Oryzias latipes: one gene and its partners. The protein of the gene in region 1 purifies or fractionates together with the protein of each later gene. This does not show direct contact. Links are inferred from orthologs where the notes say so. Each region holds a gene or a part of one and is shown on either strand. Other genes may lie near its edges. The genes, in order: sec13, nup85 and nup98.

Region 1 (5,534 bases):
TGATGCTGTCCTTCTGCAGCTCCAGCATCAGGTCGTTCGTGGCCATGAACCTGGATGCAGCAGCACATGCAGAGAAATGAGACACTTGGAGCAAAGTGTCCTGCTCCTTCTGCAGGTCTGAACCTTCAAATAAAGTGATCTCTGAGCAAACATGAAGGAAGCAGCTCAGTGTGGCTGGAATCAAACCAGCATCCAGTGATTTAGGCAATGACACGCTGATGCTACAAGCAAAAGAAATGTTTTTACCAAGGGGGTGCTAAGTATGACGGGTGTGATGGTAGCGGGGCATCAAAAATAAAAATATATTTTTATTCCCCAGCGAATAATCATCCTCAGCATGAAATACGTGACTTGATTGACATGCAGAATGGCCAATCGAACGTCCTCTGAAACATACGTCACCGTGTTTGGCTACACTGAGATCACTTTCTGTCTGTCTGCCTGTCTGTCTGTCTTTCTTTCTTCCCCGGTCTCCAATGGAGGACCACTCCGGCCCACAGAACATTCATTGAGGCCCGATGCTCTCTGTCCTCATAATAAAACGCCTTATCTGCTCCACTTATGGATTCCTACAAAATAATATTAAAACACAGGACTAAGCTATCTCCTCACAAAGATCTTACTGTGTCGTTTTCTAGTTATTATACATAAACATGTTTGTTTGACGGGACATATTGTAGATGCTGTCATTTTTTAAGTTGAATTGTGACTTTGGTGCATAGATTTAGGCCATGATTAGTCTAACGTTTTATTCTAAAAATACTGTAGAAGTTGTCAACTTTTGGAGATGCCGCCTCTTGTTTTCATATTCTTTATTGAAGCTTCAGTTGTGATTTGATTTTAATAATTGAAATAGTTTGGATTCAAAAGCGTGACATAAACAAATCTTTACAAAGAAATCAACTAAAACAGTTTTAAAGGTTTCGTTCTGTACACAAACACCTGAGTTTAGGATTCGCTTCTTGTTGTACTTCTAAAGTTTGTGTTCAAGTTTCATGATGTGTGTGTAATGAAACTTTTACTTTCACTTCTTTGTCATTTGAATTTTGCACTTTTTAAATGTTAGTAAACTAAATACATCTGCATTTTCAGCAAAATGTAAAAAAAGAACCTTTTAATAACTGTCTTTTCTCCTCTGAGTCTCTGATCAGATTTTAAATTAAAATGTTCATTACTTTAACATTCACTGCTTTATATTCATTACTCAGAGTGTCTTAAACAAACGTTTTGACAAAAGAAATATCTACAATCGAATGACGAGTCAGAGTAAAAAGGGTCTCACTGTCAGAGCTGATGAGCAGCTGATGAGCAGCTGTCTCTTACTTTACCTGAAGTCTTTGTCAGTGGAGGTCATTTTCTCCAACAGGTTGGAGATGTGGTAGGACACGTTAGACATGATGGTTCTTTAACAGCTGACACGGACGCCGATAAATGCTAAATCTGTAGGAAAGCAATGGAACTGGGGAACCAGATTCACCCTGACAACATGGCGAGGCTGGTGGGCAGAAAGCGGAGCTAACCTTAAACCTGACACCCCCAGGGTCAGCTAAAAATACAGCACACTTATTCTGGTTTATGTCTCCCTCGTGTGGACAAACCGAGCATTACAGCCGAGTTCGTTTTGAAATCCTAAACCATGGACTGTAAAGAGAAGTTTTACAGTCTCTGTTTGCCATGAATTTGTTTGAATAACATACAAGGTTGTTTTGTAAATAGATTGTTTTCTGATTTATAACTTTATTTTTTAATTGGCTTTCATGTGTGTGAGTATTGTCCCAAATAAATTTAGATTGTTTAATGTGAAAATATACCTTTTGTTATTTTACAGGAAGATGTTTTGACTCTTCTTTCGTTGCATCAACTTTTTTTTTTTTTTTTTTTTTTTTTTTTTCCTCTTTCGGCTTTTCCCATCAGGGGTCGCCACAGCGAACAAGTCGCATGGTAAACTTGGCAATGTTTTACGCCGGATGCCCTTCCTGACGCAACCTTCTCAAAGCAACCGGGCTTGGGACCGGCACAGATAGACAGAGAGACAGATAGACAGAGAAGGGAACAGGGAGCAGCCCTGTCGTTGCATCAACAGGCTTTGTAAATGTAATTTTGCGTTGTTGTCGTGTAGGCGGAACTTACGTTTCGATTGCGTCACTTCCGCCGGAAGCAAGTCTCGGGCTCTGGAAGCGGTCTGCGGTACTTGTTGCCACGTCGGAGTAGTTTGTAAACCCGGTCGATTCATTGCTAAGCGACCAGAAAACTGTTGAAGGGTTTTTGGGTTAAACAGCAGCGATGGTTGGTTAAAATACTTTATAAAAATGGTTTTAGCATTTCTTAAAAACATCTTTAAAGTTTACGTTTGCCTGCTAAGACTCACAGTTAGCTAGCTCCCGTTAGCCGAAATACTAGCTGACGCGTTAGCACTGCAGATAAAAACAATGATGGTTATTTTTTTTATGAACAGGTCAAATAAAATTCTGCTGTTTCTAATCTATAGGTCTCCGTTATTAACACCGTGGACACCTCCCACGAGGACATGATTGTAAGTGTTTGACCTCCCACTATGCTATCCGTGGATGGATAATTACATTGAATTTGTTTAATATTGTTTCACACGTTTATCCGTTCTTACAATTAAACTTTTACTGTGGTTTGATTACTCTATTTTGGGGCTGTATCGTTATCGTTTGGAACTAATCATTAATATTGATTTATAATTACATTTATCCTTAGGTTTGTTTGTGGGGGAAACGTGTTTTTTCTGTCTGTCTTGTTGTTTTCTTGAAGTTCATCTTGTTCTTTGTGCTTTAATCTCTTTAGAAGAAATGACCCACTTTTATCAGAAAGGCTGGATTTTATTGTGATACTTGTTCCTGAATGATACCCTTAATGATTTTAGAGGGAAACGTTTGCCTAACACATGATCATAGAGACGGGCTTCATTTTAAACGAACATACAAGAAAGACAAACATGTTATCAACCTATCAGAGGTCACAGTGTTCTAAAAGTACGAACACATAACTTTTTGTTGACGAGTCCAGGGACATGCTGTAAAGGTTCATGTGTGTTGTTGTGTGTCTCTGTGATGCACGGGTGAAGTGTCCTGGGTGAACCCTGATGGGATAGGCTCCAGCAACCCTGTAATCCTGAGCGGGATGGATGAATTCCCTTCAACATCAAAATGTTTCATTCTTGATAGCATTGAGGCAGTTGTCTGTTGCATAAAAGCATCTAAATCAACCTCCAGCCCCTGATTTCACTGATGTGAGGATCCTCAATTAAAAATGATTTGTTCTAGTATTAAAAGCGCTGTGCTGTATACACTTAAACACTAGACACGCCTGGCAGTTGCATCCCATCTGCATTCATGCATCTGTAAATCTTCAGGTGAGTTGGATGGGAAGTGATGGCGTGTCTAAATACTCACACGTGTTGAAAAGTTCTCTTCATGTCTTTATTCTGGTTTTAGGAGTTAAATTCTCAGAAATCTTCCCTTTATCCAAATGTAACGACCTGCCTTTCTGCAGTGTTTCTTTCTACCTACTAGTACTAAAGACCTTTGACCTTCACACGCCGATGATGTCACCCTTTCAGCTGGAAGACCACCGCTCTCTAGGTGGTTTTTAAACAGCCTCTTCCTGATCCAGAGGTGCTGTAGATTCAAACGGCTGACATGAAAGGTTTAGATCCAGGAGTTCTGGATTTGTGCCTTCATTTAGTGCCAGTATAATGATTGACATAACCAGCATACGTGTTTCCCTTTCAATCTCAAAATGTCCATTTGAAACATCAGACACATAGAAATGGTTTCACTGGCTGTGAACACATACATGTTTCTGTGTTTCAGCATGACGCTCAGATGGATTATTACGGGACGCGACTCGCCACATGCTCCTCTGACCGCACTGTCAAGATCTTTGATGTCAGGAACGGAGGACAGATTCTAGTGGCAGACCTCCGAGGGTGAGTCATCCTCAGAAAAGTCTTAGTTATCCTCTGTTAAATGCAGTAAAGAACAGCAGGTGGGTGTTCTCCAAGAAGAATAACTTCTAGTTTAATGTTCTTTATGCTGGTATAATACACGCTGACAAATATCGTGAAACACAAACGGCTTTCATCGTGAAAAGTTCATTTCTACTCTGAACTCGCGTGTGAGAGATTTTGTGTTCTTCGTTCAGCCATGAAGGGCCCGTCTGGCAGGTGGCGTGGGCCCACCCCATGTTTGGGAACATCCTGGCCTCCTGCTCCTACGACCGGAAGGTCATCGTCTGGAAGGAGGAGAACGGAGCTTGGGACAAGATGTACGAGTACACGGGACACGAGTCCTCAGGTCAGTAAGGGAATGTTTCCCCTCATCCAGTGTTAGAACTCCAGCTCATTCCATTACAGCTACTCTGTAGGTGTTTATGGTAAATGCCATTTCTTATCCTATTCTCAGTGTTTGTAATTCCACACCAGAGTTAGATTGTGTTTGTTATCATTTTTACTGGTTGTTGTTTGTGTTGCTGTGGAACTTCAGCCGATCCGAAAGCAGGAGAGACGTTCTCCGTGCTTTTGACAGCGGAGACGCCGCCGGCGGCTCGTGCTCTTTGACGAAGCGTAAATCCTCGTCTGTTTCTGCGATCAGCAGGAATCAGCTGAACTGATCGCTTAAGGCCGCTATGCAACACTTCCTGCTTTTGTCTGCGACAGAATCGGCTGACCTCCGCTGATTATGCTGAAGAGCTAGTGGGTAGAATGTAAAAGAAGACCTTTGAAGAGTCACTGTGACCACGGTAAACGGCCGCGTCTTTGTGTTCATGGCGCTGCTGCTGTCGTGTTTGCAGTCAACTCTGTCTGCTGGGGTCCCTATGAGTTCGGCCTCATCCTGGCCTGCGGCAGCTCCGATGGAGCCATTTCCCTCCTCACCCTAACTGGAGATCAGCAGTGGGACGTGAAAAAGATCAGCAACGCACACACTGTGAGTCTGACCCACTACTGCTGGTCCACCGAGAAAGGCCGATTCTGCTCGGGTTGTCCTTTGTGTTTACGGGTCAGTGATCCGGTGTCTGCTGCAGATCGGCTGCAACGCTGTGAGTTGGGCTCCGGCTGTGGTTCCAGGCAGCTTGATAGATCAGCCGTCCGGACAGAAACCGAACTACGTCAAACGCTTCGTCTCCGGAGGCTGCGACAACCTGGTTAAACTCTGGAAGTAAGTTTGAGTTACGCCGGGCCAAAGGTCACAGATTCTGCAAGTTCTGGTCGGTAATGTTCATCAGAACTTCAGCTGCCAGAGACAGAAAGTAGAAAATGAATCCAGGAAATCAGGTGGATTTAGTTCTGAATCATTTATTTGAACAGTGGAGCAGACAATAAGGATTTATTTCCCCTAAACATGAACTCTGACCCCATAAACCCCATACCCACTGTCAAGCATGGTGGTGGAACCATCATGGTTTGGGACCGTCTTTTTACTAAAGGCCCAGGACGACTGATCCGTATGAAGGACAGCATGAATGGAGAGGTTTAGGTCAGAAACCTCCTTCCATCAGTGAGAACATTG
Region 2 (5,534 bases), on another chromosome or scaffold:
CCAAAGTCGATGTGAAATCTGGCAATGTGTGCAACATCGCCACAAAAAAGAGGAATAATGTAGGGAAATAAAATTTCCAGCTCCATCAAAAGAGCGCCGACAGGTGAGACGGACTCTCCTTGAGTGGCCTAATATTGAGTGGAGAATAGGTCTGTTCTTTAGCTTCAACAGGTTGAAGTTTCTTAGTCACCCTGGCTGGAAGAACTTAGCCAAAGTCTGTTTCTCCTCCATTTTTGAGTATGTTCCTGAAATGACCATGACCTTCAACAAATTCACTAGTCTGTAGACTTCAGTTTGGTTGGGGTGCCACTGAATGGACGTCTTGGTCCTACTTCTTAAGTGTGTTCTTGATGGTGATGGAAGGAATTGACCTTTTGCTCTTCTCATCTTCTGAGGAGAGTCATCCCCTTCTGTTTTTCCTTAATGGGTTTGTGTCCAGGAGGTCTTTTCTCCTCCTTGGTGATGCAAGTTGGGTCACTTCTTCCAGAAGAGGCCATTTTTGCTTCAGTTGAAAAGCTGATGAGGGCTGTGGCCTTCTTCCCAAACTAACACCTGAAATTCTCCTGCAAACCTCTCAGCAGCAGCTTTGTCGGTCCTAGCTACCTCTCCGTGCAAGGCCACTCAAACAGCCTTGGATTCTTCTTCTTCTGTTTTAGCTCCTTCTGCATTTGTACTTCTTTATTTCTTCATACCCTGACTTTCTCGCAGATGAGCTCTGCCTCCGTCTGCCTCTCATCTTCATCTCTGAATAGTTTTCTGACCTCGTTGCTGTTCCCCCGTGGTCATACAGTTCGGCAGGACGCACCTTGAACGTCAGGTGCAGCTCGATGGTTTCTTTCTTTGTTTCAATGCTCAGAGCTTTTCTGACCATTAACACACCTATTGATAGGAACCATTTTTCTTGGGGTTCAACATTCAAAATTTAGAGACTAAGAAAAAAAATTAAGAAGACCTGTCCTCCAATTAAGAAGACCTTTAACTTAAGGAAACACGATCCAAGACACACAACAAGTCACACCTATGTACCTGGATTTAACCATTCTGTTGTACCAGAAAAAAGTTAATTTAATTTATTTATTTACAAAAAAGGTTCGTTTTGTGAGGCAAGTGGGTTGCAATGTTTATCATGCAGATTGTTTGTTCTATAGTTCTTTATGTTTGTCAGAGTGGAAAAATAAAAAGATAAAATACCAGAATTACCAGGGATAGAAACATAATTGTAGGCCGTATGAAAAACAGATGCTAAAAAACACGTATTCATTGTTAAATATTAGTTTCAAGTATTTGAATATTTTATTTTTGGTATCCAGTTGTTATAACCCGTTTTCTTCAACGAGTCAAGCCAAAGTGTTGCAGACTGACTAGAACAGTTTAGTCTAGAGACTAAATACAAACAGTTCGTTTTCTTGTTTATTTTTTCCATTCTGGTGCGTCATTACAAAACACAGACAACTTAATTACCACACAAACACAACGCAAGAAAACCGCAAGATTTATAGAGAACGACACCAGCTGGTTGGCGGGATGTAATCAGCCTAAAAGCGACGTGCGCGCCAGTCCATGCGCGCTCACATACCTTCCGGTCCATCAAAGTAGGTACAGTTGAATCTTATCACTTAACTTTTTTATTTAAAAAAATACGAACAGCACACGCGGGAATGTAAATTCACCTTTAAGATCGGCGATCCAGTTAATTTGTAATAGCATCGTAATTGACAATGGGGTCACTTACCTTTGGTTTTTCATCAGCCATCGTCACTCTTTTGGCGCTTCTCTATGCTACCACACAAAGAATATGAGTGCGCGCACGTACTCGTTCCCGTTTAAATTATTCGGGGAAACGTGCGCGGGCATGTGTCAATGCGCGTTCACTGAACAAGGATTTAATTGGCCGCATGAAGTCACGTGGACTAAAGCGCAGTCTAGTTATGGGCGGGAGACTACCGCCTGCGCGTTACAGAGATACTCGGCTTCACATGCACGCGCACGGCAGAATTTTTCCCTTTTGTTTTTGGTTTAGGTCTATTATATACGAAGGAAATCTGTTCATCGTCACGCCGAAGACTAGTATCAGTGCTGCACGTTTCATAAAGCGCCCATATGATCGGTATTAGATGTACAGCGTGATATATTAGTACTCTCCTTATTTTAACCCCTCATTATAGCCCAGTGGCCATCTTGGTTTTTCTTTCTTTTTTTGTTACAATAAAAAACAGGCACCGACTAAACGACAACATTTACCGATATGGCGATATATTTTCTAAGATAGCTAACTTATATAACGTTTTAATGTATATTAACAATATGATACGATTGTATCTTCCTGATTCTGAGAATATGTTACACGTTTTCGGAATAAAATTACTTCGACTTTTAAATGTATATCGATTCTAAAGATAGTGTTATTTGCTTCAGTCATGTCAGTTTTCTTGACGTAGATTAAAAGTAAAAGAAAGTACTGTACTTGCAAATTTAAAAAAACAAAAAACAAAACAGGCATTAAGTAGGACAGTCCTACATTTGACGCATGCGCGAGATAGTCGTAGAAAAAGAGAGGCGCGCAAGCGTTGCTATATTATAGCACGTGTTAAATGGCATGATTAAGGTGAAAAAGTTCATAGTTTGAAATTTAAAAGGATCTAAAAAGTTTCATCCGATGGAGGAGGTAGACGTTGAACCGACGATAACCGTAAGTCTTTCGTACTATGTAGTTTATTGTTATGCGCTATCGAATAGCAGCTAACAAGTTAGCTAAGCATTTTGAATTTTGTAAATCCTAAAATTCGGAATAAAAAAATACACTAGTAGTTAATGATACAAACACAAAAGTTTATGATGAAATGTTACGGACCGACATTACGAGTTGGAGGTTTCGTAGCTAAAACAATGTCACAGTTGACATGTTCTTGGATATAAAGAAACAAACTTGGAACAATGGTTAGAAAATCAAAATGTAACGTTATTTTTGTCTTCTACGTTTTGTTAAGTTATTTTGTGCTTTGTCAAACAAAGAAAGGTAAGTCTTTTCCTGGACATTTTTGAGTCCAGTCTCTGTCTTAATGTCAAGGTAAATAAATATCCTGTTGCATGTGTCCAATGGATTAAAACTAAGAAAGGCAAAAGAAAACCATAAGAGTGTTGGTTGTAACATTGCAACTAATAGGCAATAAATCGAATGTTGTTTGAAAGCCAGGACATTTTAAAATGATTTTATTTTATTTAAGCTTTGTTTAATAGGGACAGTGCACATTAATGAACATCTACCAAACAATGATTATAGGCGTAAACATGCTGGATTATAGCAATGATGCTAATTTGCATCCCTAGTCCCTAGGCAGGAAACATAAAACAGGACAAAACAAAAGACACAGTCACAGATACAATAAGAACACAAGAAAGTGGTACATTATGAGAGTTAAAAGTCAGTGGTTACAGGACTGGTTTGCTTTCAGCCACTGCTTGAGCTGTGTTTTGAAGGTCTGTAATTATTGACACTCCCTTATGTACAATGGAAGACTGTTCAAGAGTTTACTGGCCTTTACAGAAAGAGCGTTTTGTCCAAAGGCTGTTTTTCTGTGTGGAACCTCACAGTCCCCTCGAGACGAGGCCCTAGTCCTGAGAGCGCTGTGAGACCTTATTTAAAAAAAGTCAGACATGGGAGGCGGAGCAAGTCCATGTAACACCTTGTACATCAAACAAGCGAATTTAAAATTTTTAAAATTCTCAAAGCTCAACAACTTGTACTTTTTCAAGATATTACAAACATGGAATGACATTGGTTTTCTATCTAAGACCTTAAGTGATTGTTTTATAAAGTGATTCTATGGTTTTGCTCGTATTTACACCCGGCAAGGACCAACATGTAATACAGTATTCAATATGTGATAGAATCATTGAATGCAAAAACATTCTAGCAGCTCCAAGTGAATTTTTTTAATATGGCTCTTGAAGCTCAGAGTTGAATCAAGTGTCACACCAAGATACTTAAATTTAGATAGAATTTCTAGTTCCCGTTCTTCCAAAAATATACCTGAATGCTTGATGTCCACTGGTTGCTTAGTGAACATCATACAAACAGTTTTAGTTGTATTTAACAGTAAGCAAGATTTAGAAAGCCATTCATTTACAGGAACCAGAGCTGAGGTAAGAATAGAGGCTGCTTCTTGAATATTTTTTGCGCTAGTGAATATGACAGCATCATCAGCATACATTTGAAATTCAACATTACCACATGTGTTTGGCAGATCATTAATATACATAGAAAACAATAAAGGCCCAAGTATTGATCCCTGTGGTAGACCAACAGGGACATCTAAGAGAGTTGATTTGACACTGTTAATACAATCACACTGTTTTCTGAATTCTGGATATGATTTTATCCACTGAATTGAGTCCATAGAAAAGTTAGACAAAAGAATCTCATGATTCACCGTGTCAAATGCCTTATGATTGTAAAGAACGTACTTTTGCAGGATTTTCAGTAGATATTGATTGAAAGTCTTTTTTTTAAATATAAGGAAACAAAACTTAGTTAGATTGAATCCCAAAAAGCTTTGCTACAAGATAGAAATGGTCAAATAAGCACTTTAGTGATGTTCAATAATGTTCTATTGAATGTTGCAGAGATTATTACAATTGGAAATCTGTGTTATCACTCTCAATACAGAATATTCCTGCACTCAGAAGAGGAAAGCATATGGGCTTTGCATGGGGTCAAGGTAATATCTTTGTCTATGAGACCCTCTTCAAAGCAACAGGTATGTGTTAATTTCAGTTTCAATACTTTCGCAAGTCTTCTTGCTTTGTTTCCTTTCTATTGTCTTGTGTTTCAGGTGCAACAGGATCTGGTTCCCCCTTCATCCATGAAGTCCGGAAAGATGAAGACATCTACTCTCCTATTTTGCGCAAACTCTTTAACGAGTCGCATCACATTTTTGTTGGCTTGCAAACAATCAGGGAGGATCTGCCCAGCAAGAACAAGAAACCTCAGTAAGTCTCCTGATGAGAGACCGCTCAGCTTACACAAATAATTAGTTTTTATTGACATTTTCTTTTTAATTTTTTGATCAGTGGGATGACATAAAGATTGAAAAAGAAAACAGGCAAAACATCAACATGTAACTATTTCATGTCAAACAGTGTTAAAGTAAAAAAAAAAAACAATTCCTGTTTTGCTCTATAGGTTTGTCAGCATCAGTAAAAACTATAGATCTGTTATTCGAGCCTGTATGGAGGAGCTGCAGCAAGTTGCAGGTTAGCTTCTTTAAACTGAATCATGAAGTGTATCTTCGAATCCTACAGTGTAGTTTTTTATAATGGCATGTACTTTTTTGTTTGCAGTTTCCACAAAAAACGCAGAGATGTCCGTACAGTATGGAAACCAGGCACGTGTTTTTATTCTTTAGTTTCATCTTTTCCTTTTTAGAAATTGTGATTAGTTTAATTTTTTAACTTATTAACGTATAATAGTTTTTTTCCTCTTCTTTTTAATCTTTTTACTATTCGTAATATTTTTTTGTTTCCTCGGATGTGGA
Region 3 (5,434 bases), on another chromosome or scaffold:
TAACATTTTAAAGTGGTAATTCCATCGTCCAAAGTGTATTTTACTATTCTCTGCTATATTTCTAAAGGTTGCTAATTGTTGATCACAAATATTTCTACTTAGTTTTTCTGGAACCCATCACGAATATCCAGGGATTCAGATGCTGATTACAGCCCTAATTATGGCTGCAGCACGAAAGAGTCACATCTGTGCTCTGATTCTCAGGTATCGTCCTGAACCGGGTCGGGTATTACACCATCCCCCCTCTGGAGGATCTGGCTGACATGGTGGATGAAAATGGAGAGTGCATCGTGGAGAACTTCACTGTTGGAAGGAAAGGTAACCACTTCCTGTTCCAGTTCACACTTCCGTGAATCTAACTGGACAACCGCCTCACTGTCGTGTTCTGTCGTTTGGACCCTTTGCGAAGGAGGGTCTAAGGGCAGGGATGCCAGTTTAGTTTAGTCAGTTTGTTTGTTCAATTTAGTATTTTCCTGTTGAATTCTATGTATTCATGATCCTTTTGATTTTATGTTTTACTTTTTCAATTACCGGTACAAAGCCCATCGAGACGACTGTTGTTGTGAATTTTGGCTATACAAAGAAAATTGAATTGAATTGAATTCTGTTTGGCCGGCACAGGTTACGGCTCCATCTTCTTCCCTGGGGAGGTCAATTTGACGAACCTGAACCTTGACGAGGTTGTTCACTTCAGACGCAAAGAGGTCATCGTGTATCCTGATGACAAAAACAAGCCACCAGAGGGGGAGGGGCTTAACAGGTGAGTGACTGGAGGCTGAGAAAAAAAATCTGATAAGATGATTTCAGAGTAAAATGCCTGCAAACTCCACATTAAGCCTGCACAATAATAAGATAAATAAATCCCAAAATTATCGTTATCACCATATCAAGCTGTGCAATATGCATATTGCAAAAGACGGCCAAAATTGCAATAAATGGTTACAATAAATGTGCTAAAACAATCTTATGGGAGCTTGAAGGATTTAGCAAATCAAATAAATCCATCTATGCATTTGACCAATTGGATGAAGCCCTGTATGTTAGATGCTGCCTCCTATGTAGACGAGGGTCATTTGGACTAAAATTTAAGTGATGTTGACTCTTACGTGAAATAAACTGTTGCAGTGAAATTGGATTGATGTATTTAGATGTTTTTCTATTTCTTCATGTATCGTCATCGCAGTAAAAATCAATAATATCCGAAATTGCGAGTTTCACTCAAATCGTGCAGCCCTAGTCCGCGTTCTCCTGAGGAACTCCTCTGTCAGTTGAGGCACCGAGGTTTGAGTTTGTGCTCTGCTTTGATGTTCCCTGAACCTGCTGTTTGCGTCTGCAGACGGGCCGAGGTGACTCTGGACGGCGTCTGGCCCAACGACAAAACCAGCTGCACTCAGATCAGGAGCCCCGAGCGCCTGGCGGACATGAACTACGAGGGCCGGCTGGAGAAGGCGTCCCGCAAACAGGGCGCTCGCTTCCTAGAGTACAGACCAGAGAGTGGGTCTTGGGTATTTGAGGTCAGTCCCCCCCCCCATGGTTCATCCCAATGATTTTTGTCGTGTGTTGAAAGTTTGAAAGAGAAAAGCTGTTTCTGCCGGACATTTGACCATCACAGGGGTTTTAACAAAATGGGAGTCTTGAAACCTTGTCAAGACTTGATCAAGAATTCTTAAGAAGGAAAAAAACGTACTGATGGCGTTTACTGCCAACCATTCACTAATATGAAATCTGAGTTTCCTCTAACGGTTCTCTGGCTTTGGCAGGATTGAAAGCTCACCTGGACTCTGTCTTAACATGCAGAAGATGCAGCACTGCATCAGGAAGTTCTGTTGGTAGATTTAATGACAGCAGAATGTTGGCCACATTTGACCCAGGGGCCAGACTTTGGACATGTCTGGTTTACCTTTAAGATGGAAGAACTGAATGCATGATGTGGGGCCTTAAACAAGCAGTCAGTTTAACCCTTTAACACTGGAGCATTAGCTCCACGGTTGACATTTTGACTCTAGTAACTGTTTATGCAATTGTCGTTATTCCAGCAGATTCTGAAGTGGAGAAAAGCAGTTTTGTGAATCAGCTGATTCTGTCGCAGCTTTAGCCCCTTTTCCGTTGGTTTAAGTTGATTTCTTAAACAGTCGAGGTGTAACTTCATGTCAGAGAGCGGGTTATCTAGGTGAACACACCAGTTTGAACAAACATCACGGGCGCTGACTCCTCCCTCTTCCTCAGGTGAACCATTTCTCCAAGTACGGCCTTCAAGACTCCGATGAAGACGACGACGTCCCGCCTAAGGCAGACCCCAAGAAACTCAAGATGATGTCACTTCCTGCCTCCAAGCTGCAGCCGCTGCTCCCCCCGTCCCAGCAGCAGGTGGCGCCACAGGCTCAGGTAGAGCAGCCTGACACTGAGTTCAGATGAGTCTGATGTTCCTCCTGTAGCGGGTTTGTCGTTTCTGAAGCAGAGTGCACAGATCACAGAAAGACTGCTCTGACGTTTAGACGCTGCACAGATCTGAGTTTCTGCTGATGGTTGAACTGTTGAGGGATGGACCTTCTTAGATGTCAGGTCAGGATTTTGACTTTAAGAGACAGTGAGTGTTTCAGACCTGTGATCTCTGAAGGTCCATTCATGGAGGTCTTTTGGGTCCCTAATAAGTTTTAGAACAAAAGTGATATCAAAGCTGTCTTTAAAATGTTTTAACTTTCTCAAAGATCCGACTGGAATGTTCTGGTTTCCACTTCAATGAACAATGTTTGAATAAAGTTTGAAAAGACGATTGTCACTGTTTTGTCCAGTTTGTTCCTGTGGAGCGTAAAGCTTCTGTGAGTTTTTCCAGTTTTTCTTCCGGGTCATCTGAACCATGGAGACATGAAGCAGTTTCCCAAGGGTTTTATTTTATTTTTTCTGTGCTGCATTTGAACTTTTTATCGTGGTGGGTGTGTCCACACCAGGCCTTCAGAACCCCCCCCCTTCAGGTTCCCTTTAACTGAACTCCAGCGCAGCGTTCTCCAGCAGCTCTGTCGTGGTCGGCTTTCCTCACGCGCTCCTTCTTTCTGTTCAGTCTGTTGACCTCATGAGTGGCGTGGCGGAGTTTGACAGCGACATGGCTGACATCACCCAGAGCAACCTGCCAGAGAGCATGCTGGGAGGTGAGGAGGAGGGCGCTCTGCTGCAGGGGGACATGAATGGAACCAGCCCAAAGCTCGGCGGTTTGGTCTCTGAGGAGCACGACAGCATCTCCGCATCCACACACCTGGCCTCCTCCATGGGGATCAACCCGCACACCCTGCAGGTACAGCCACAGGCCGGTCAGGACGCCTCTCCCACGGTCCGCCTTTGGCTCTAGTGCCAAAGAGGCCGCAGGTTTGAACCCAGATGTGACTAAAGCGTTATCCTGACCAATAATCAGGAAACGGCATTAACAGGTCTCAAGTTTTGGTTCAAAGTAGTTTATCTTCACTCATTAGTTTTCTTCTGCTGCTGCGTCAGCTGGACGTTGGGCTGTTGGCCTGACGCCTCCTCACTGGAAAAGAAGCAGAGCTGACTAATAAAAGTCTGGATCCAGAAATCAATGATTTGAACCCCTTTTCATCAAAAAACAGGCCATCGTCAGACGCCCATGGAGATTAATGCCAGAATGATGGGTTACCATGACTACGTAGATCATGTTGCCGTTCAAAGGAAAAACTCACCGGTTTTCTAGGAGGAGCAGGGGGATTGTTGCCACGGTGACATGGTGGGTTTGTTCTGAGGGTGGATGTTTGTCTGCAGATCATGAAGGCATCTCTGTTTGCTGAGGATGAAGATGAGGGAGACCTTTTCCAGCATCAGGGTGGGATGAAGGTTTCCGCTGACATCTCATCTCCACGCCTCGCCATGCCAGCATCTCTGAGTCGACCCTCTGGTAAGAGCTACACCCCGCCCTCCCAGGGTTGGTTCTGCTGGCGCCCTGGGTCTGATCCTTTTCTCTCTGCAGTTGGTGGACTCTTCCAGACTCGCTTCTCTACTGGTCAGCTCTCTGAGTCGCTCCGCCCTCCCCCTCGAGCGTCTCCAGTGGGACCGGAACCCCCCCGCTCAGTGCAGTGGAAAGGCCTGGGCCCCTCCTCTTTTATGCTCCCCCCTCGAACGACAGAGCCCCCAATCAGGACGGTCGGAGTGCGCCGCTTGGACGGACCTGTCCCTCTGAAAGAGTCCGTCACTCAGGGGAAGGTGGGTACCTGTACTTCATGGAGGACGCCTAAGAGGAGGTGCTGGGGAGGAGCGTCATCTGTGTCTTCTCTGTACAGGGAGGCCTGCTGATGGACGCGGGGCTATTTGCTGGCCGCTCCTTCAGGGTGGGCTGGGGTCCCGGCTGGACGCTGGCCCACTGCGGCAGCAGACTCAGCTCTCCGACATCTGAACCAGGGGCAAGCAGAGACCTGTGCCTGGCCGACTTCAGCTTCCTGCCAAAGGCTGCCCGGACCAAACCGTAAGGCTGCTTGTCCCTCATCTTTAAGCTGCTGTCGACTCACTGCTGTGCACAAATCCTGATCCTGTTCGACGCTGACGCTAAGCATTATGGGAAACTGTCGAAATGACAAGCAAAAATGCAGAAACTCCTTTATGCAGAATAGATTTAGCTATTTTTCTCGTTTGAACTGAGAAGTCTTCAGCTGTGTTCACCTCGCCCTCAGCATTGCGTGATCAAGCCTCCACCTCCAAAGAAAAGTCTATGTAAGCGCACGTAAATGCGCGTTTCAGCGTTCCAATCTCTTGTGTTCATGCTTAAGACCGTTTTCAGCCTTTACATACAAAACCATCGAACAAACGTTAAAAATATAACCATATATGACCAACCAGGGTTTCAAATTTGGTTGATGTCCTTTTTAATTCACAGAAGAGGAGAAATTAATAATTGTGGTTTGTGGTTGCTCCGAATTCTGATGCCAAGTCTTTCAGATATGTAAGAAAGAAAAAGCCTGGAGCAAGACTGACCAGATTTGCCCACTTTTTGCAACAAGCCTCTTCCAACTGTAGGTGGCAACATGGGCTAGTAATGGGCTACATTTGGGTCACACGCCACGTAGCTTTAACCTGAAAATAACAGCAGGAGAAAACACCAAACTGTGGAAACATTAAATAGTCTTTTCTGGAGGGCGCCGGTTCCCACAGAGCGCTGAAGAGAGCAAAGACATCTTTGTGACTCCAAATCCTGATGTTTGGTTTCAGTTTGACAGAAAGTCCGTACAAGGTGGTTCTTGAGCAGCTGGTGGGTCTAGATCCTCTTCAGGGTAAGACCAGTGAGGACGACGAGGACCAGACCGTGCTGCAACGCCCCCTGGAAATCAGCCTGAAGTACAGCACTGTCAGTGTTCCAGACGGGTCCGACTGTCCTCTAGTGAAGCCACGGCCCGGTGTGGACGCGCTGCACGCTTACGCCGAGTGGATCACAGAGCTG

The links.
Region 2: the proteins of sec13 (region 1) and nup85 purify together in Homo sapiens (affinity purification with mass spectrometry; 5 studies listed by BioGRID and IntAct, counting the BioPlex papers as one, with this or other methods). This does not show direct contact. The link is inferred for Oryzias latipes from reciprocal best matches to the Homo sapiens genes SEC13 and NUP85.
Region 3: the proteins of sec13 (region 1) and nup98 purify together in Homo sapiens (affinity purification with mass spectrometry; 4 studies listed by BioGRID and IntAct, counting the BioPlex papers as one, with this or other methods). This does not show direct contact. The link is inferred for Oryzias latipes from reciprocal best matches to the Homo sapiens genes SEC13 and NUP98.

Annotation. Positions count from the first base shown.
Region 1 is NC_019863.2:32,815,389-32,820,922, reverse strand, and holds the start of sec13 (protein SEC13 homolog), read left to right. Parts: upstream 1-2,136; 5' UTR 2,137-2,283; coding exon 2,284-2,286; intron 2,287-2,488; coding exon 2,489-2,533; intron 2,534-3,839; coding exon 3,840-3,955; intron 3,956-4,170; coding exon 4,171-4,322; intron 4,323-4,818; coding exon 4,819-4,952; intron 4,953-5,049; coding exon 5,050-5,183; intron 5,184-5,534. Other genes in the region: cullin-associated NEDD8-dissociated protein 1-like, read right to left, coding at 1-50, 1,329-1,396. UniProt on the Homo sapiens protein: Functions as a component of the nuclear pore complex (NPC) and the COPII coat. At the endoplasmic reticulum, SEC13 is involved in the biogenesis of COPII-coated vesicles.
Region 2 is NC_019866.2:13,020,107-13,025,640, reverse strand, and holds the start of nup85 (nuclear pore complex protein Nup85), read left to right. Parts: upstream 1-1,973; 5' UTR 1,974-2,656; coding exon 2,657-2,689; intron 2,690-4,666; coding exon 4,667-4,757; intron 4,758-4,832; coding exon 4,833-4,989; intron 4,990-5,182; coding exon 5,183-5,253; intron 5,254-5,340; coding exon 5,341-5,384; intron 5,385-5,534. Other genes in the region: sumo2 (small ubiquitin-related modifier 2), read right to left, coding at 1,733-1,753. UniProt on the Homo sapiens protein: Essential component of the nuclear pore complex (NPC) that seems to be required for NPC assembly and maintenance. As part of the NPC Nup107-160 subcomplex plays a role in RNA export and in tethering NUP96/Nup98 and NUP153 to the nucleus.
Region 3 is NC_019872.2:23,871,248-23,876,681, reverse strand, and holds part of nup98 (nuclear pore complex protein Nup98-Nup96), read left to right. Parts: intron 1-204; coding exon 205-318; intron 319-621; coding exon 622-760; intron 761-1,336; coding exon 1,337-1,514; intron 1,515-2,226; coding exon 2,227-2,385; intron 2,386-3,058; coding exon 3,059-3,289; intron 3,290-3,768; coding exon 3,769-3,901; intron 3,902-3,973; coding exon 3,974-4,206; intron 4,207-4,283; coding exon 4,284-4,465; intron 4,466-5,205; coding exon 5,206-5,434. UniProt on the Homo sapiens protein: Plays a role in the nuclear pore complex (NPC) assembly and/or maintenance. NUP98 and NUP96 are involved in the bidirectional transport across the NPC. May anchor NUP153 and TPR to the NPC.